Linked DNA regions of Arabidopsis thaliana. The protein of the gene in region 1 interacts with the protein of each later gene in a pairwise test. Each region holds a gene or a part of one and is shown on either strand. Other genes may lie near its edges.

Region 1 (4,877 bases):
AATTGAAATAGAACTCCTAAAATTGCAGAATGATGGTTACCAACCATTTAGATAGATTTTCATAACTCTTTTCGGAAACCCACACTATTATCTTTTGCTATGATCAGACAATTCAGCATGGATAAGCAACTAGGGAAATCGTAAGATGTCAGAAAGACAGAAACACTTACATCGACAGGAAATGTCTCACCAGGCAAAACCAATAGCGAGTCTCCAACTCGGATATCATCAACTGACACATTGATGCAAATTGAATCAGAGGAAAGTACAGAATCCACTGGGGTGTTATTGTCTGATGAAGTAATCACAAGTCTTGATTGAGTGGAGATGAGTGACTGCAAAAATACGTTTCAAGTCAAAAAAAAGGGAGGAAAAAGCCTACAAGTTAATCTTGGGAGGAGAATCAAGAAATGTCTAACATACCAATAGTTCATTCATATCGGTAGATGCTTGAAGCTTTGCTCTTTCTTCCAAAGAACGACCAAGGAGCACAAAGCCAAGCAGCATGACCTGCATACTAAATGACAAGAGCTATCAATCAGAAATTTACTATTGAAACTGTATTTTGCATGTAGTGGAAGTAATAATAAAAAGCTTTCATCCTCTTGTGGATCTGCTAGAGAAACTCACCGGTTCATCGAAGAAGGAAGCATCCCACTCCAGTTCTGGATTAACTAGTGAGATCTGCAAAATTCAGAATGCAGAAACTGCAGGTTTTCAGAATAGGATACTCACCAGTCAAATATAAATTACAGGGTACAAAAACTCACCAAACTGATGGAAAATGCAGCCATGGATCCCAATCCAACTAACGAGTTCATATTAGGTGATCTTTTCCCGAAAGCTTTTATGCCATCAAACAGCAATTCTACAATATACATCTATCTGTTTCAGTCATTTGTGTTTCCGAACAGCCTCAAATATCACTACCACCACTTTGTTATGAAAGTCGCAAAGAATAGTAGGAACCATCACTATCACTTAAGAAGTTTGAAAATTCAGAGTTTCTCTCTTATGACAACGACGACTCAATTAAGCTAACCATTATCCATAAGAAGAACTGATTCAACAAAGCTCACCTATATAATCAGAGTAGAACACTAGCACTTATCTAAGTCTAAACAATAGCCTAAGAACGACTACTTTGTCATCTCTCTCTTATGATACTAATTACTAAACTTATTATGCATTAGCTGGTAAGAATCATAGATTCGAACTAAAAGTTTAAACAAAAGCAAACCTCTTCCTGGTCCCAACAAAGCTCCAACGGCCAAACCACCTTTCACGTAAGAGTTGTGTAGCAAATCCCAAATCCCTCCTAGTAACATCAGGTGCAAGAGAAAGTCATAAACTACATCTCTTATCCAACAAATGACATCTAGCATCACAATTTTTTTTGCATTATAATCAATGTACCATGAGCAATGTGAATTCCCAAGGAATGAAGAATATGCGAAGTGTGAGACCCGCAACACAGAGCCACCAATGTCCACGCAAACGCCACACGGTTCCTGCTCTTAACAAGCAAGTCCTCTTTCTTACTTACCATCTCCTTCCACTTCTTCACATTCTCCGCCACTCCCATACCCGAGACTCTCCTCTTAGCCTCAAAACCACTCTCTGTCAATCTCTTAGCTAAACTCTCTGCCGTATCCGCCGTCACCTCAACCTCCGGTTTAAACTTCACAGCCGCGGTTTCAGTCAGCATGTTAACCACAGCAGACGCGACTCGATCATCAGACATCAAAACCGATTTAACTCGGGCGACGCAGCCACCACACATCATCCCACTCACATCGAGGAGAATAGGCGTGTCGCTCGTAATGGATTTCACAGATTCGATTGAAGATTCAGTAGATTCAAATGATTGAGTACTTATCTCGACCGAGTTTGATACTAAAAAAAAAGGTCGCGAACAGTGCCGCCGGATACGAGAACGGCGCAGTCTTGGAAAGCATCGGTTCACGAGGAACTTACTTGGACGAATATGAAGACTCGATGGCGGAGGAAGAGGAAATCGGAGAAGATTGCTCGCCATTTTCTCCGGCGAGACAGACGACGATAGTCACGCGATGTATACAAGTAAGAAACTAGTGGTGGACTGGTGTATGGTTCGTTAAAAAGAGTATCGCTAAACGTTGACACGTCGGATTTGGAATATATCCGAACATTAGCCATTTTTGTGGAATTTTTAAAAAGCCAGGCTGTCACCAGAAAAATCAGAGAGAGACATAAAACGCAAAGTTTTAATAGGTAAGACCTTCTAACTCAGCTAGAGGATTACAGCCCCCGGGACACAGCGATGCCACGTGTCATCTTCCTGAAATATTGTTTTTTGTTTGGAGGTAACTTTATCTTCTCAAGCTTTCTTCTTCTACAACACATCTAGAGCTTTGCAACAATGGAGGCGAGTGCGAATGAACCAGCTATGAAAAGCTTGAAATCCAATCCTTCAGGACCGATACCGAACTTTTTCGTATCGCTCTCTTCGGCATTTACGCAAACACCTCTTGTGCGTTCGAACAAACCCAATTTGCTTCTTCTACCACCAGTTGCAGACTCCGTCAAATTGATTCAAGACTTTCATCAGTCTCTGATTTCTGCTACTGAGAAATTTAAAGGATTCCTCCATTCGCTCGCCTCTAAGAACCCTCTCTTTCAGGAAGCGGTTCGCCTATCTTCCGAATTTCACATTTTGTGCGACGAGGTAACTTCTCTTAGCCTGCTTATGCTAAAGAATGTTATGGATTAAGTTAAGAAGATGATTGTGTGTTTCTCATGAACTTGCCTTGGCTCTGATTGTTACTGTAATGGGTGAATCTTTGTGGTTTCTATTTATACAAAATGGGTCATTCTTTAACAGCCAGTAGATTGTTGTCTAGATCATTTAGCATTTATTGGAAAACCTTCTCACATTGATAACCCTGAGTTATATATGTCCTCAAGTTGGGATCTTTTTTGGTTCTTTTCTTGTAAAGATGAAACTTGGCTTCTGGATAAGTCCGGTTATGATTTTGTGTGCCTTTGCTTCTGGTTTTGGGTTCTTTATGTCTTAAAGATGAAGATCATTTTGTTGCATTGCAGATTCGTTTGAGAAACACTACAAGGGTGAGGTTTGCGATGTCTAATCACGGATTTGCAGCGGTTCTGCCTGGAGATTCAGTTGCAGGATTGGTGGTTGCTAATGGTTTGATCAATTTCCTCAACATATATAACACCATCCTTGTCGTCCGTCTAGTACTCACCTGGTTCCCGAGTGCTCCTCCTGCCATTGTTAACCCCCTCAGGTAAAACGTTGCCTTCAAATGCCACAATGATTTTATATCTTATCCAGGTTTAAAAGTTTTCGATCAATCCATGAAAACAAAATCTAGATCATAGAAGTCCTATTCGTGATTGTTGAAGGTAGTCTTTTTACTTGATTTAGAGGAAATTTATTTTGGATAAACTCTGTCTACTACTTTTTTGTCCAACTCTTAAATGGATTAAAGATTGGTTAAACCCTGATTGATCTGCCCAGGAACCCTAGTTGATTCCTATTTATGTGTATATGCGTTACCATTGTTTCAGCACTTTATGTGATCCATACTTGAACATTTTCCGGGGATTCATACCGCCTCTTGGAGGATTAGATTTGTCTCCCATTTTGGCGTTCCTTGTTCTCAACGCCTTCACCAGCTCGGCTATGGCACTTCCTTGCGAACTCCCGTCAGCTGATGGAGCCGTTTCTCCAGCTTCTAGTGAGACAAAGTGGGTGAGAAGGAGAAGGTTGAGCAGCCACAAAGACCACAGACCGAGCTCAGCTTCTATGACCTGAACCTGTCTAAAATATCTACTCTTTTCTGCGCTTCAAATGTAAAATCTACCTTTCGAGTAATTTTATTACTCTGTATCTTTGGATTTCTGAGTTTTGTATAAATTTTCTTTAGAAAATGAATAAAAGAGTTGTGTTCCTGACATACAGAAATATTGTAAAAATTTTGCAAGAGATGAGCTTTTCTTCTTCATTTGTGGCATCAAAACAACTTTCGCTCAGATTCTAACCAGAGGCTTTGCATATCAAGACGAAAACAAGAAGGATGAGGATGACAAGCAATCCACCAAACGAACCACATAGCCTGTGAATCCAGTAAGGATCAAACCTGGTCAAGCTCGGGTCACTGTACAAGGACAAGGCTATGGCTAAAATCAACAAGAGGAGAAGCAGAGAGAAGGAAAACATAAAGCTGAAGAGTTCTTCTTCCTCTTCTAGATCTTCCTCTGATAATCTGTCGATGTAGAGTGGTGAGAGCACGGCTAGTACCGACAAGCTTATGGCCAAAAGCTTCCTGGAAGTAGTAAACCTCCCCATCATCGGGCTGGATGATCCCGTTTCCATCAGAAAAATGCCAGTACAAAATATATAAAAACAACTGGTAACTTTCTTTACAATCCCCGGTTGGTGTTCATCTGAACTAAAATGGCTTGTTTCTTGGTAAGAATCTGAACACAAGTTGCAGGATTGTTTCAAAAAGCCGTTTAGATGGTATGGTTTAGCTATTTACTCAAAAAGAGAAGAGAGAAAGAAGATTCTTTCGTTTCTGGTGAACAGTTGTGACCACACACTGCTAAAAATATTCCAAGGGATCATATGCTTAAAACTTTTCTTCTCTTTCTATTAGTTCAATCTTTTTACAAAAAGCTGATTCTAAAAGACATTGTAACATTGTTCATATATCACTATCTTTTTTTCTTTACTATGAACCTGTACAACAGCTATAATTTGGTCTAACAATGAAGAAAGGTCATCAATTCAAAGCTATATATACAAACGCCAGTTGTCTACTCATCAGAAGAACTTGGCACCTACACTTGGGTAAAAGTTATCAAGGTGAGCA
Region 2 (4,086 bases), on another chromosome or scaffold:
TCTTTTAAAAGTCAATTAAGTTAACTTCCACGTCGTTATGACAGCGACAGTTAATGGAAGGTAGCCAGAGAAGTCACTGAAGAAGAAGGTGGTTCTTCAAAATCGGATCATATTGATGAGATTAAATTGTTTGTTGTGCAGAGGTATTGGCGCACAAAGATCGAGTGTTAAATTGTTTAGTTGAATAAAAGTTCGCAACATTGCACTACATTTTGATGTGTGCTTTAATTTAAAGGCTACCTCTGCTCTGCATGCGACCATTCAAGTTTTCATGTATTATTCCACTCCATAATTGACCCCCAAGGCCCCAACTGATGCAAAAACACTAATATTTGGTTACGGCTGATTTCTTCAGTCATATATATGTGAAAAACCAATTAATGGTCTTCACACTCCCATATAGCAGGTTATCTATTAGTGCCCTTAACCGAACCCGATCGAGATTGATTGAAGTCATATCATCTCTATCAAGTAGTTATCATCTTCAGGTTCCTTGTGGGTTGTTTGATAGCATAAGAACATATATGTTATGGGTGCACTCTTAAAAAGAATTGTCGGGCGTGCCACATGCTGTCTCAACATGAAGCGCTTCATCAAGATGGCCAAAGAGGCCTTTTACAATAGACAAACCAGTTGTACATGTTGAAATGCAGATACTGAAATGTTTATCTTGCTGCAGAGATATTGGTACAGAGAAGCCTTTAGTTTCAGTTTTGCCGGCCATTTCAGGAATAGAGGATTCGGTAATGCTAATGACACTTGGCTTTATTTAATAAATAGAAAGAGAGTATTACAACAATTGTTGAAGAAAACAACATGATCCATCATTTTTATCCGCACATTCCAATGATCCACGAAAAGGTTAACGCAAAGAGTCCAATGATGACCAAAAAGAGTGAGAGTAACGAATTAATCATCGTTACTATGGCGGCCACAAGTGCAGTAACAAGGGACACCCCAGGCAACATGAATAACTGTACGGTAAATTGGAAATTAGGAAGCACATATCGAATGCAACTGAAAGCAAGTAGACCCAGCCATAACCTGGAAAAGGACATTTGTTAGTTCTAGAGAGGTAAATTATGTTGTTTAGCCATAATTGTAAATTTAGTTAGATGCGCACCAGAAGTGTCGACTAGTATCTTGACGTGATGATGACTCGGTTAGAATATGCCATAAAGACACCACAATCAAGGACACGAAGAAAGATTCAAGAAAATTTTCCAAACGGTACTCCATCACCTCGTTGCTGCAAATCAATAAAAACCATTGTTGAGGATATCAGTCTCTAATGCCTGAAAAAGAAAAAGAAACACAGTTTATACCTTGTCTCTGAGCTAGCGTTTTGGATATACTGCCATAAACGGCAACATACAAAAGGCAAAGTGGCAATAGAGGCACAAGTATAAAAGATGATCCATGTAAACAAAGCTACATCTAGTTCTGGATCTCGTTCATCTTTTGTTAGAATCAGAAAAAATATGGCTGCAACAATCTGGACCAAAGTCACAGCTAACTCGACCAAAATCCAGAAACTTCCACTTGTAAATGGACAACTCCATTGAAATGCCTCATGTGGAGTTTGCTCATGATCAGCTGATGACGAACCGCCATTGATTGTAATGTCGATGATGTGCTCATCATTTGAGGAAGAATCGCCATGGATTGTAACGTCTTCGACGTTGTGCTCACTCTTGGTTAACAAAGGGCCCTCCATTGATCACTTTTTTGCTTTCTTCTATTTTGTCCAATCGAATTAATAGTTCATCTAAACAAGCGTTGAAATACAAATTACATAAAGCCCTCTCCGATTCTTTGGTGCTAAATTATTATTCTAAGACCCAATCTACGTCAAGATCTATTCTATAAGTCAATTGTAAACTTCTAACGAACAAAAAAAAAGTTAGTCATTCTTCTCTAAATACGAATAATAGACATTTCCAGCTATATTATTATCTTAAGACCTAATCGACACCAATACCAATTCTAAGTCAATCACATAAAGTCCTTTACAATGAGTAGACTTTCGGAGCTACATTTGTTTTGTGTGTTTTTGTTTTACCTACACCAAGACCAATTATTAGTCAATTGTAGCCCGTTAGAGTAAAATTTCAAAATATTTGGTTCTAAATTATAGTCTTCCTAATTCTTTGGTGCTTGATGTATTATTTGGGAAGCTAGAAGAAGTAATATGTCTTTTTTGTAAAAGGAGAAATCTTTGGTGTTAAATTTTATTATTTGGGAAACTATAATATTTTATTATTTTTCTTAGTTATCTTATCTTTGGTGTTAAAGTTATCTATATATCCATTTCGATTTACCCAAATCTGTCAAAATAATAAGGCCTATAAAAGGTTATTCTGAAACACGTGATTATTTGGGTAAATGTCACAATGAGGTAGGACTCGACTCGAAATAAGTCAGATTTTAAAAAGCCCATTAAAGTACGGGCCCTTAAAATACATATCTGAATAGCGAAAACGCACGAATAAGAATGGTCAGTCAAAACTGTCATTTAATGGAGAATAATATTAACGAGGGAGAAAAATAAAATAAAAAGAGGAAATAAGACGAGATGATCATATTTGATCATTTCAAAAAACCTTAGCTACTGTTTTTCTCTACCTTAATAAGATTAAAATCATCAACATGAACACAAAACATTTTTATTCTGGTACTCTGCTTTACTTTGATTTTAAACGCCCATTCTCCTAGGCTTACAAACAAAATATTTTTATTAGTTCGATTTCAGCAGATGCATGATACAATGCATGCTACAATGCCTTTTAAGACTTCCACAGCAAGGAGAACACATATGACCACAGGCGTAAGTAAAAGCAAAGGAGTAGTATAACAGACCATTGCCAATGTTAGATTAAAAAGAACATATCTAATGCAACTGAAAGTAAGGAGAGCCAAACATAACCTGCAAAAGAGACAATGAAGAAGGCCAAAGGCATGAGTATAAGAAAGGTCAATATATACGTTTTAAGGTATACATATGATTGGAAATTTCGTTTGATACGCACCAGAAGTATTGAGTTGTAGTATCATCTAGAGCTGATGAGTCGAATGCTTTGGAAGAAAGAATCCATAAAAACACCACATACCAACCCACGAAGAAACCCGTCATAAAAAAGTCCATATCCTTGTTGATTCTGCAAACCAATAAAACCATTATATCTCAATCTAATGCATAAAAAGATAAAAGAAAACACAATTTATATATACCTTGTCTCTCTTAAGTATTCATCTGTAGATTCGGAGCCAACGCTTCGGTTATAAAGCCAAAAACGCCAACATAGGATAGGGAGAGTGGCAATACAGCCACATGTATAACCGATGATCCATATAGACAACATTGTTTGTGGATGTTCTTCATCTCTTGGCTCAATCAGAACGATTATGACCGCAGCAATCAAGACCAAAGTCACAACAAACTCGATTGAATTACAAATGCTTTCATTTGTGTATGGATCACCCAATTCAACACCCTCGTGTGGTTGCTGACCATCAATTGATGAAGAACTACCATCGCTTGTAATGTCAATGATGTGTTCACACTCGCTCAACAAAGGGCCCTCCATTGATCACTTTTGGTTTTTCCTATTTCTTGCCGATCAAATGAAAAGTTCATTCAAATTTGCGTTGACGAGCACAAAGCATATACCTTTCCTTCTTTGTTGATAAAATTATTAGTATTTTTTTAGACCAGATCAATACTAAGTACGTATTAGTCGTGTTACAAATAAAACATTATTTTGAAAAATGAAGATCAAAGCTGAGATTTCAATGTTTATATATATTGCAGATGTTTTGGACAAGTTAAATTGTTAATAGGTCAAATGATCTGTATGATATTTATTTTCTGTTTTAAGACAGACAACACAAGAAGACAGGATCGTATCTTTCAGTTTCCCACCACTTTTGTTTATTGAATGTGTACAATTACTCTTGAGCGAAAAAAAAATAAAAAAAAAATCAACCTCATCTCATCACCACCTAACTTGTGATTGACAGAGAGGGCATGTGGATTTGATTTTCAGCCATTTGTCTATACATTGCGAATGAAATACGTGTGAGCAT
Region 3 (4,476 bases), on another chromosome or scaffold:
TGACATTCATTTAATGTTCTTAACACAAAACCAAAATCCATATGACTATATTTATATTAATTATGTTGTTAGTTTTGTTGAAATAAGTTATCCAAAAACAAATTTCAAGAATAATTTGAAAGATTTTGGGTCTTTCTACTTTCTAGGAATTGCAAGGTCAAGGCGGTTGGTCTTGTGTCATGATTTTCTTCGTTTTAACTATTCAAAGAAAACAAATATTGATAATAAAATAACCTTGTTGTGATTATCTAGAAAAAGGGCTGTAGAAGAAACAAGAAGCATCTCTGTTTTATGTTCCCAAATGAACCAGAAACTCTTAGAAACTTCTAACACCTCTTAGAAACCAACCTTTTAGCATAAACCCTAATCCCATCTTTATAAACCAAACACTTCTTGCCTTTTTCTTGCAAACTCACAAAAAAGAAGACAAGAAGACAAAAATTAAGAAATTTACCGATTTGAAAACAATGGCTCTAGCTCGTCTGGCTTTGAGAAACCTTCAACAAAAACTGTCTCCTAGTTTGATGGGTCAATCTTGTGAAAGAGGTTTGGTCGGAAATCGACATAATCCAATGAAGCTAAACAGATTCATGGCTACTTCGGCTGGTGAACAAGAGGATAAGATGAACACAGAAGTGAGTGTGTCTGAGAAGAAATCTCCTCGACAGAATTTCCCCCGGAGACGTGGCCGAAAAAGCCTCTGGCGTAACACCGACGATCATGGCTACTTCACTCCCACCCTAAATGGTACGTTTGTCATTTTAGTTCATTATTGATATACCTATTTAGCAGAAAATTTCAATAGTGTCACAATAATAATATTTTCGAAATAAATTATATAAAAAAAATTCAACATTTAAGTGTAAAATATATCCCATAAAAGAAAAATTAAGAAGAAAATTTGAAATTCTAGAATCATAAAAATACATCAAATTTTAAATTTACATTTTCATTGCATTAAATCTCATGAAACATAATTAATGTAAACCTCTATTTTTGCTTGAATTGAATTTTTTCTTCTTCTTAAAACAGAGTTCTTTCCTCCGACTATAGGAAATACTCTGATACAAGCAACAGAGAATATGAACAGAATTTTCGACAACTTCAACGTGAATCCATTCCAACTAATGGGTCAAGTGAAAGAGCAAGACGACTGTTACAAGCTCAGATACGAGGTTCCAGGGCTAACCAAAGAAGACGTGAAGATCACGGTAAATGATGGAATCTTGACGATTAAAGGAGATCACAAGGCGGAGGAAGAGAAAGGCTCACCTGAGGAAGACGAGTACTGGTCTTCAAAGAGTTATGGTTACTACAACACGAGCTTATCGTTGCCTGATGATGCTAAGGTTGAGGACATTAAGGCGGAGCTCAAGAATGGTGTGCTTAATCTTGTGATTCCTAGGACGGAGAAGCCAAAGAAGAATGTTCAGGAGATTTCTGTTGAGTAGAAGAGATACGGTGTCGTTTTTGTGTTCTTTGATGGACTAAGCAAATTAATGTTGTACCTTTTTTATGTTTATGCGAATGGAATCAGTTATTAAGTTGCTAATTAACTTAGTTCATTTGCGCAAACAAAAGAAGCTAGAAAATACATTATAGACTAATTGAACAAGCAAAGAATGAACCAGTTTTGTGTTTGTAATGAGAATGGAATAAATTGTTATTCAGCATAGTTAATTTTCGCAAAAGAAAGAAGCCAAAATTAATTAAAAGAAGCAGCAAATGTTGTGTCCCTTTTATGTTTTCTATGCGAATGGCTCAATGGAGTAAATTGCTAATTCACGTCATGAACACAAAAATGTTGATATATTAAACAAGAAGTCCATTTTTGTACCTCATATCAAAATTTTATTTGTAAATTTTGTATTAATAATTGTGGATTTGCTATACTATACTATGAAATATTTTTCTTTATAGACAAGTTATGTTATACATTAAATTATTTATTTATTAATAAGTACAGTATTTTAGTGTATTGTCAGAGTTCAGTTTCTTTAAAGAAAACACAATATTTTTTTTTTTTGTCGTCAAGAAAACACAATATTTATGTTAAACAAAAATGCATGATATTTCAATAGTTTGTGGAAAATTATAGAAAATATTTCATTTTCCTTCTTTTAGTTTGGTATTAAGAAGGAAAAAACCAAAAACATTTTTTTGATAATGTATACATAAATTAAAATTAAAATAATGAGAAAACAAAACAAGGTCCAAAATACCTTGTGAAGAAAATGGCGACGGCGTTTGCCAACACGACTTCAAGCTCCAACCTTTACCTCCATCGCTGCCGTAAAAACCATCCTCTTCCATCTCCGTCGTTCTTTTCACCGTTCCGGTCGTCTCCACTTCCTTCTCAGACCCTTTTCCTCGTCCCCACTCCAAAACCTGTACGACGCATCGCGGTCGCTCCTCTCGGCCCTCCAACGCCGCCTAGTCCCGACCCACCTCCGCCTAAAAACACGACTGAGCTCACAAGTTCGTCTTTCCCTTCTTACCCTTAAAACTTCAATGTTTCAACTCTGAGTTCTGATTTTGTTTACTGCCAATTCTATTTTTCAATCTTTCCTAATTCGATGAAATTGCATTACGGAATTCGAATTAGGAGAATGAAGGTGGTTTAACTGCTATTGATTCGTAGATAAAGATGTTAATCTTAGTCCTCAAGATCGATTACTGTTCATTGCTAAAGTTTTGATCTTTGTGACAATTTATAGACTTTTACTCTTGTTAAGCATTAAGGATTTATAAATCTCCTCCTTTTACAACTTGTGAATGTCTTCCAAAAGTTCCACCATTTTCTTTTCCCTACAGGTTTAGTCATTGGTTGCAATACGAGAGCAATCTTCTTAACAATTTGGATTCATAGTTGTTGTTTGGTATCACATTTTGTGTAGGTCTTGTGGGAGTAGCGTCGATGATTCAAGACCGTGTAAAGATCTTTCTTTCAGTACTAATTTGGATCTCTCTCTTCTTTTGGGCTTCGGCTTTACAAGGAAGAGGCAGCAAAGGTAATGGTAAAGGGAAGAAGGGTTCACGCTTCAAATAGTATTAGTTAGATTGGTGTGGTGATGATGATGATGATTGATGAAAACTCCTCTACACGTTTGTGTATATATACAGAGGAAATATTCTTCCAAGTAAAGCAAATTTCTTGTCAGACTACAGTTTTATACTAGAAACTAGATTGTTCTCTTCTTACGATATCTCTAGCTTAGAGCTATAGAGATTACTCTACTGTGATGAAACTAAAGTAGTTTGCATTTAAGTCAAAATGCCAAATCAATATCATTGTTTATTGAAAGCTGTTTCAGATTGTAAATGACTAGATGTGTTTGGTGTGTGCTTGATTCAGCCAAACGGTAAACCGCACCGTTTCTTTGATTTGAATGTTTGTTGTATAAAATGGGCCTTTAGATATGTTATATAACTTGTTTGGGCTTCAACATACTCTTTTATTGGGCCTCTCTATATAATATAATATTTCCAAAGTTGTATTTAATTATTATTTGATTTATATTTAAAACAGTGGTTGTTTATTCATGATATGAAAAAAGAAATAACTGGATTTAGGTAAACCTTATTCAATACTGGGACAATGAATTAACCAGCTCATGATTAGTTGGACCTGTTTTGGTTAAAGGCTGGTAGTAAGTTTAGAAACAGAAATTTATGATAAGAGCCTAACATTTTGTTCTGACCACACTGAGTAATTTAACAATCTATCTAAATTAAGATTTTATGCTATGTTTAATTTATATTTGTTCTGATTATAGCAAATAAATTTCCATATCTAGAGATCTTCTTCATACACAATAAAAAAAACTAGTATTTGAACTTTTGTATGTATTAAAAATTGCAAGATTTTGTAAGTACAGATTCACCAAGGTGAGGTGTGTGATTAGGAAACTTTGATTAGTTGTCATGTGTCATCAACAGGCCATGAAAAGGAAATCTTTGAAATTCAAAAAACAATACCTTTTGATGAAATTATTACTATATAAATACTATATGTGACTATGTGTGGATATGCACAATCATTCCCACTAATAGTTTAATAAAGTGTATAATTTTTTTCAAATTAAAACAGCTAAACACACACAACCACATTCAAAAAGGGGTTAAGCATTGAAGAATATTCTAAGAAAATTTGTTTCTCTTCTTACAGAAGTAAAAGCGACTCTCTCTCTCATTAAGCATCAAAGGAGTTTCGTTTTTCTTGCTTTGCTGTTACATTCTTCAGGAAAAAGGCGTTACCTTTACTCTCTCTGCATCAACGAGGAAGCGTGTAGAGCTAAAGGAGCTGAATTTGAGAGATTTTTTTGTTTTGTTTCTGGGTTTGTTCAAAGATGCAAATTTTTAGTTGTTTCTGCTGTGGAAAAGGATTTGATCGGTATGTATGGAGTTTTAATCTTGATTTTCAACTTGATTTGCTGGTTTATGGGTTTTATCTAGTTTCTCCATTGTTTTGTTCTT
Region 4 (6,252 bases), 3.8 Mb from region 1:
TCATGAAATCCAAAGGCAAAAGTGCTGATGGATCTTGGCTTTGGTGTACTACTGATGACACTGTTTATGATGCTGTTAAATCCGTATGCTTATACTACTCTCTTTTTCCTTTTTTAGATATCTCGATGTGGATTTGGAATTGATTGTGTTTGATTTTGTTTAGATGACACAACACAATGTTGGTGCCTTGGTGGTTGTGAAACCTGGTGAGCAACAAGCTCTTGCTGGTATCATTACAGAGAGAGGTAAAATTAGATCTAATCATTAATAATTTTTTTGTTGTGTCTTGTGGTATGTGTGATTCACTTTTCGGCATTGTGATTTCTCTAGATTATCTACGGAAGATCATTGTGCAAGGGAGATCATCCAAATCAACAAAAGTTGGAGACATTATGACTGAAGAGGTATGTAAATGCACGATTGTACGATTTTTTTTTTGCTTTTGTGGATTGAAACTGACTGGATCTGTGAACTGGCAATTGCAGAATAAGCTTATCACTGTGACACCGGAGACCAAGGTCTTGCGTGCTATGCAACTGATGACAGGTAAGCAGACAACTTGATATTTTTCCACTAAAGATACAAGCTTTTGGGTTTAAAACCTACTGAAGCAAATAAAAATGCGGGTTTGTGTTTTTGTAATGTACAGATAACCGAATCAGGCATATTCCGGTAATCAAAGACAAGGGCATGATTGGAATGGTGTCCATAGGAGATGTTGTCCGTGCAGTGGTTCATGAGCATAGAGAGGAGCTTCAACGCCTAAATGCGTATATTCAGGGAGGTTACTAGATCTTGAATAATGGAAAGAAAAGAGTTCCCTGTTGTGTCGTCTGGTCTTGTGCTGCTGAATCTGAAAAGCTTCCAGATCAGTGTAAATATGCAGTCCTCGTTGTTATTGTTGTTGTTGTTGTGTTTGATGTTTTGTGTTGTTTCGTTGTTTAACTTGTCAAAACTAAGGCCTTGTGCTGCTTCTCTTCTTGCGCTTACTTAGCAAGAGAATAAAACCAAAAACTCTGATCTCTTTATGAAAGATATGATGTTTGTTTTTGTTATCAAATCTTGCGTCAAGTATCCATGTGTGTTATGAAATAATAGAATTACTTTGAAAATTTGATTTCGGTACAAAGTTTCCGTGTCTTTGGACCATGAAAAATATCTTAACAAGTAAACCAATTCTTTGAATACAAACAAGTAAACCAAGGCAAAATATAAAACGATAGATTTTCTTCAAATCAAATCGATTATGGTGTGGTCACAATATCGTCTCTCAAGGGATCAAACTCCGGTGACCAAGCTTGCACCATGAGATAGCGATCAAACGCCCTCCATGGACCTCCTGTCAACGCTGCCATGTATTCCTCCTCCGCTTCGAACCGAATCATGAAAAACTTACGAGGGAGATCCACAACAGACATTGCTCCTCGTGGTTTCCACATCTCTCGAAGCTTTCTACTTAATGCTGATATTGTCATGTTACGCCCGGGCACTTTCACGATCAAGCTGTTCTTCAACAAACCATTCATCGCCGCCAATACCTCACTGCCAATTGTTATCACTGGTTCTCCATCCTCACCATCAGGGAACTCCAGTGTCATTTGCTCAGACACAAACTCATCATCTAAGATATCATTCGGATTTAGGATACCACCTAAATGTCCCCCCACCACTTTCTTCACCCACGAACCCGGTGCATCAGGAGGGTCTCCCGGAGAATGACCTTTCTCTCCTAGGTCCGTCATGGTCACATCTTGCGTTTCAGATCTCAAGCCTCCGGCGGCGTCGCCCATTTTCTCTCTATCGATTATATTGAGACCACATTTTAACACAATCTTAAAAATGTATAGCAAATGCTTAAAAATCTTGATTGACTTTAATTAATCATGGTTTATCGGATTGGTTTATCCTAGGGTGGGCTTATCGAGTTAGGCCCATTGGTTATGTAGGCTTATAGCTCGTAGAAAGACTTCATGCGTAGTGACGTGGTGAATTATTAATGGTTGATAAGGATCAAACATAAACGAGCCAAACCGGAAAAATAAACCGGGAAGTATTAAATCACAATTAGAGGCGGGTCTTGGTCTCGAGTCTCGAAGCGTATAAGAGTCAAATACAACTGTAGCGTAGCTTCAGATCTGGTTATTTTCTTCCTTCGTGTGGAACAGCCATGGCTATGGAGTTTCTGAGGAGCAGTAGAAGAATATTGGAATCTTCTGGATGCGCGATCGCTTTGATTTTTCTGCTCTTCATCCATGGAGCTCACTCATTCTATCTCCCAGGTGTTGCTCCTCAGGATTTCGAGAAGGTAAAAACGTTTCGAATTTGTGCTTCTAGGCTTTTAGATCTGATTTGGATCTCCTGGATCTGCGTTTCGATTTCCGCTAGGATTAATCCGTTCTTGATTCCCGAGAAAGCTAGAGATAGTGAGAGTTGGAGTGCTGATGCACCGACTTTTGGTTTAGCTATTTTTCTAATAGAATTGGTGATTTCACTTCATTTCCGCTTCACTAATCTCTCGATCTGAACAATGTAGCGTCTTAGGCGAGCTATATCGATATTTATTCTTCTGGATTAGCCTTATTCGCTGTAATTTTGATTACCTTTGTTAGGTTCTTAGTGATCTCTCGCTCTTGATTCGCTTGCCATTACTACGAAATCCAAGTTATGGGTACAAGGGCAATGTCGGTCCTGCATGTTATATGACGAGTCTCAATCAAAGTAGACTTGCATGTTTCACTTCAAAATCATATTCAAATTTTGAGTCTTGTTTTCTTGTATGTTGCAGGGTGATGAGCTGAAGGTGAAAGTGAATAAATTAACTTCCATAAAGACTCAGCTTCCATACTCGTATTACTCCCTTCCTTTTTGTCGCCCTAGCAAGATTGTGGACAGTACTGAGAATCTTGGAGAAGTGCTTCGGGGTGACCGGATTGAGAATGCCCCATACTCGGTTAGTCTCGTATTCAATTTTTAATTTTGTAATTCATCAGGCTGTCAAAAATATTATGTCTGTGATTTAACTCTAACCCTTGCGGGGCTGAAACAATTGCAGTTTAAAATGCGGGAGGCACAAATGTGCAATATTCTCGGCCGGGTCACTCTTGATGCCAAGACAGCTAAAGCGTTTAAAGAAAAGATCGATGATGAGTACCGGGTCAACATGTAAGACCAAATACAGGCACTTTTCTTTGATTATTTGTATGAAGAACATGCTTTTCTCTGTCAGTTTTATTATAAGTGTTTCTGGTCTGTGTTAGGATCCTCGACAACCTTCCTCTGGTTGTTCCAATTGAAAGAGTCGACCAGGGTTCTCCCTCTGTTGTTTATCAGCTTGGTTATCATGTTGGTCTTAAAGGCCAGTACGAGGGGGTAAGTAGGTTTTAATTGTTAAGACACTAAATGGAATTCATGCTAGATCGTTCGATTTTCTAATTTTGTTTTTGCATACGCAGAGCAAAGAGCAGAAGTTCTTTATGCACAATCACTTGGCATTTACAGTCCGCTATCACAGAGATATCCAAACTGATGCTGCAAGAATCGTGGGATTTGAGGTTAAACCTTACAGGTGCAGTTCTTGTTCATAATTTGAATGTCTCTTGGGATCCCCTGTCATTCAGAACTGATATTCCCTCCGTTGATTTGTAGTGTGAAGCATGAGTATGAGGGAGAGTGGAGTGAGAAGACCCGTCTGACGACTTGTGATCCTCACACGAAACGCCTGGTCGTTAGCTCGGCTACCCCTCAAGAAGTTGAACAAAAGAAGGAGATTATCTTCACATATGACGTCGATTTCCAGGCAAGTTTTTTCTTAAGTAATCTGCGGTTTGTGTCTTAAAAAAATTTCATGAATTCTTGTTTTCAATAGTTTTTCTGATTTCCTCTTCTGTTTCTGTCCAGGAAAGTGAAGTGAAGTGGGCATCTAGATGGGATACTTATCTTCTGATGAGTGATAACCAAATCCACTGGTTCTCTATCGTCAATTCTCTGATGATCGTCCTATTCCTATCTGGTATGGTGGCAATGATAATGCTGAGGACCCTTTACCGTGACATTTCACGATACAACGAGCTCGAGACTCAAGAAGAAGCTCAAGAAGAGACAGGATGGAAGCTTGTCCATGGTGATGTTTTCAGACTTCCTACCAATTCTGATCTGCTCTGCGTCTATGTTGGAACAGGGGTCCAGTGTCTAGGCATGGTATTTGTCACAATGATCTTCGCCATGCTCGGATTTCTCTCCCCTTCCAATCGGGGTGGTCTGATGACTGCAATGCTCTTGCTCTGGGTCTTCATGGGACTCTTTGCTGGTTACGCCTCTTCACGTCTCTACAAAATGTTCAAAGGAACAGAGTGGAAGAGAATCGCTTTCAGAACAGCCTTCTTGTTTCCTGCAGTTGTGTCAGCAATCTTCTTTGTCCTAAACGCTCTCATCTGGGGACAGAAGTCATCTGGGGCTGTCCCCTTTGGAACAATGTTCGCCTTGATCTTCCTCTGGTTTGGCATCTCAGTTCCTCTCGTCTTTGTTGGGGGTTACATTGGGTTCAAGAAGCCAGCGGCTGATGACCCAGTGAAAACCAACAAAATCCCGAGGCAAATCCCAGAGCAAGCTTGGTACATGAACCCGGTTTTCTCAATCCTCATTGGAGGAATCTTACCGTTTGGTGCAGTCTTCATCGAGCTCTTCTTCATCCTCACATCCATCTGGCTCAACCAGTTCTACTACATCTTTGGGTTCCTCTTCCTCGTCTTTGTAATCCTCATTGTGACTTGCGCCGAGATAACCGTAGTACTCTGCTACTTCCAGCTTTGCAGTGAGGACTACCTTTGGTGGTGGAGATCATACCTCACATCAGGCTCATCAGCTCTCTACCTCTTCCTCTATGCCACGTTCTACTTCTTCACAAAGCTTCAGATCACCAAACTGGTCTCTGCGATGCTTTACTTTGGGTACATGCTCATCGCCTCCTACGCATTTTTTGTGCTCACAGGAACAATAGGGTTCTATGCTTGTCTCTGGTTCACAAGGCTCATCTATTCCTCTGTTAAGATCGATTAGAGGATATGATGATCATCATGGCGATTAAGGAAACAAAGAAGAAAAGGTGATCATAGTTTATCTTATTTTTCTTTTTAAAATCGGTTTTGTTGCATTTTAGGTTCTATTTTGTTGCATACCAAAAGAGATTTTAATATATGTAATAGAGTGTATTTTGTTTGATTTGTCAAATAACAACACTTTCTGAGAATTTTTGCAATATAACCAATTTTTATAAATAAACTCAAATGAGAACAACAATCAATCATGGTTTGGTGATATCAAACTCTAACTTTTCCTGCAATCATAAAAGCTTTGTAAACGACGGAACGAACCAGATCAGAACCTCCCCAAGCGGTTTCAAGCTCTCTCACCAAACTCTCCGGTAACAACTCGACGCCTTTCTCTCTCGCCGTGACGATGGCCGACCATGATTTAAACATCCTTATGATCCCTTCAAACGACGTCGTTTTAGGCATCTCCAGCTTTAATGGCTCCCCTTCTGATCCCATCCCAACATTTTCGAAAGGAAACGGCAATGCTTCGTACGAATCGAAGATGTGCTGAATGTACGGATACTTCCAAAACGGCAGCGTTGTGGCGTGGAGCCGATACTGGACGGCGTCGAACTCTGGACTCACTATGACGTCGTTGTATCCCCAGACAGCGATGATTCCGCCTGGTTTACGGAGGAGTCGTGTGGCCACTGAGTAGAACCTAGGGAGATCGAACCAGTGTACGCCTTGGGCGACCGTGATTAGATCCACTGAGTTTTCTCCTCCGATTAATTCCACTAGCTCGTCGTCGGTCATTGACGTCGGCGTATGGCGATAATTGATTTTCGGATGTGGCGTTGCTAGCTTCAGCTGCGATTCACTCACGTCCGTTGCTACGACACTCTCGTAATGCTCTGCAACCTGCAAAATGGAGGCGAAATTTGTCAAATCCAAGATCTGATGCATGTTGTTGTGATCATTTACGAGCAAGAAGCTAAATCTGTTAAATCTAAGTTTGAAGCTCTATAAAAATTTATGAGCATCAAATACTGACGGCGAGAGCTGCTTGGCCATTTCCGGTGGCAGCATCCCAGGCTAAACCGTGGTGATCGGTGAGATCAGCGAGCTTCGAGAACCACTCAGAGGGGTAATTAGGTCTGGCGTCAAGGTATAGATCGGCTTGTTTATCAAACAATCCTGCCATTTTCTCTCTGTTTTGCTT

Evidence for each region.
Region 2: the proteins of YLMG2 (region 1) and AT1G15610 interact in a protein complementation assay, tested with the Arabidopsis thaliana proteins (one large-scale study listed by BioGRID).
Region 3: the proteins of YLMG2 (region 1) and AT1G52550 interact in a protein complementation assay, tested with the Arabidopsis thaliana proteins (one large-scale study listed by BioGRID).
Region 4: the proteins of YLMG2 (region 1) and EMP1 interact in a protein complementation assay, tested with the Arabidopsis thaliana proteins (one large-scale study listed by BioGRID).

What each region holds. Positions count from the first base shown.
Region 1 is NC_003076.8:7,240,290-7,245,166, reverse strand, and holds YLMG2 (YGGT family protein), read left to right. Parts: upstream 1-2,286; 5' UTR 2,287-2,401; coding exon 2,402-2,707; intron 2,708-3,084; coding exon 3,085-3,287; coding exon of another isoform or gene 3,288-3,291; intron 3,292-3,326; exon of another isoform or gene 3,327-3,570; coding exon 3,571-3,817; 3' UTR 3,818-3,966; downstream 3,967-4,877. Other genes in the region: PAA2 (uncharacterized protein), read right to left, coding at 171-335, 424-510, 631-684, 771-868, 1,241-1,318, 1,417-2,038; AT5G21910 (uncharacterized protein), read right to left, coding at 4,040-4,378; AT5G21900 (RNI-like superfamily protein), read right to left, coding at 4,829-4,877. UniProt on the Arabidopsis thaliana protein: Not required for the biogenesis and accumulation of native cytochrome b6 in the thylakoid membrane. Not functionally involved in the pathway for covalent binding of the c-type heme to cytochrome b6.
Region 2 is NC_003070.9:5,368,424-5,372,509, reverse strand, and holds AT1G15610 (uncharacterized protein), read right to left. Parts: upstream 1,754-4,086; 5' UTR 1,718-1,753; coding exon 1,326-1,717; intron 1,250-1,325; coding exon 1,124-1,249; intron 1,045-1,123; coding exon 831-1,044; downstream 1-830. Other genes in the region: AT1G15600 (uncharacterized protein), read right to left, coding at 2,749-2,926, 3,030-3,158, 3,232-3,587.
Region 3 is NC_003070.9:19,571,758-19,576,233, reverse strand, and holds AT1G52550 (uncharacterized protein), read left to right. Parts: upstream 1-2,174; 5' UTR 2,175-2,234; coding exon 2,235-2,478; intron 2,479-2,897; coding exon 2,898-3,049; 3' UTR 3,050-3,479; downstream 3,480-4,476. Other genes in the region: AT1G52560 (HSP20-like chaperones superfamily protein), read left to right, coding at 468-747, 1,033-1,451; AT1G52540 (Protein kinase superfamily protein), read left to right, coding at 4,350-4,393.
Region 4 is NC_003076.8:3,423,713-3,429,964, reverse strand, and holds EMP1 (Endomembrane protein 70 protein family), read left to right. Parts: upstream 1-2,067; 5' UTR 2,068-2,167; coding exon 2,168-2,305; intron 2,306-2,785; coding exon 2,786-2,950; intron 2,951-3,052; coding exon 3,053-3,162; intron 3,163-3,257; coding exon 3,258-3,369; intron 3,370-3,452; coding exon 3,453-3,565; intron 3,566-3,645; coding exon 3,646-3,796; intron 3,797-3,897; coding exon 3,898-5,055; 3' UTR 5,056-5,277; downstream 5,278-6,252. Other genes in the region: CBSX3 (Cystathionine beta-synthase (CBS) family protein), read left to right, coding at 1-83, 164-245, 331-404, 486-546, 650-792; AT5G10830 (S-adenosyl-L-methionine-dependent methyltransferases superfamily protein), read right to left, coding at 5,316-5,951, 6,085-6,234.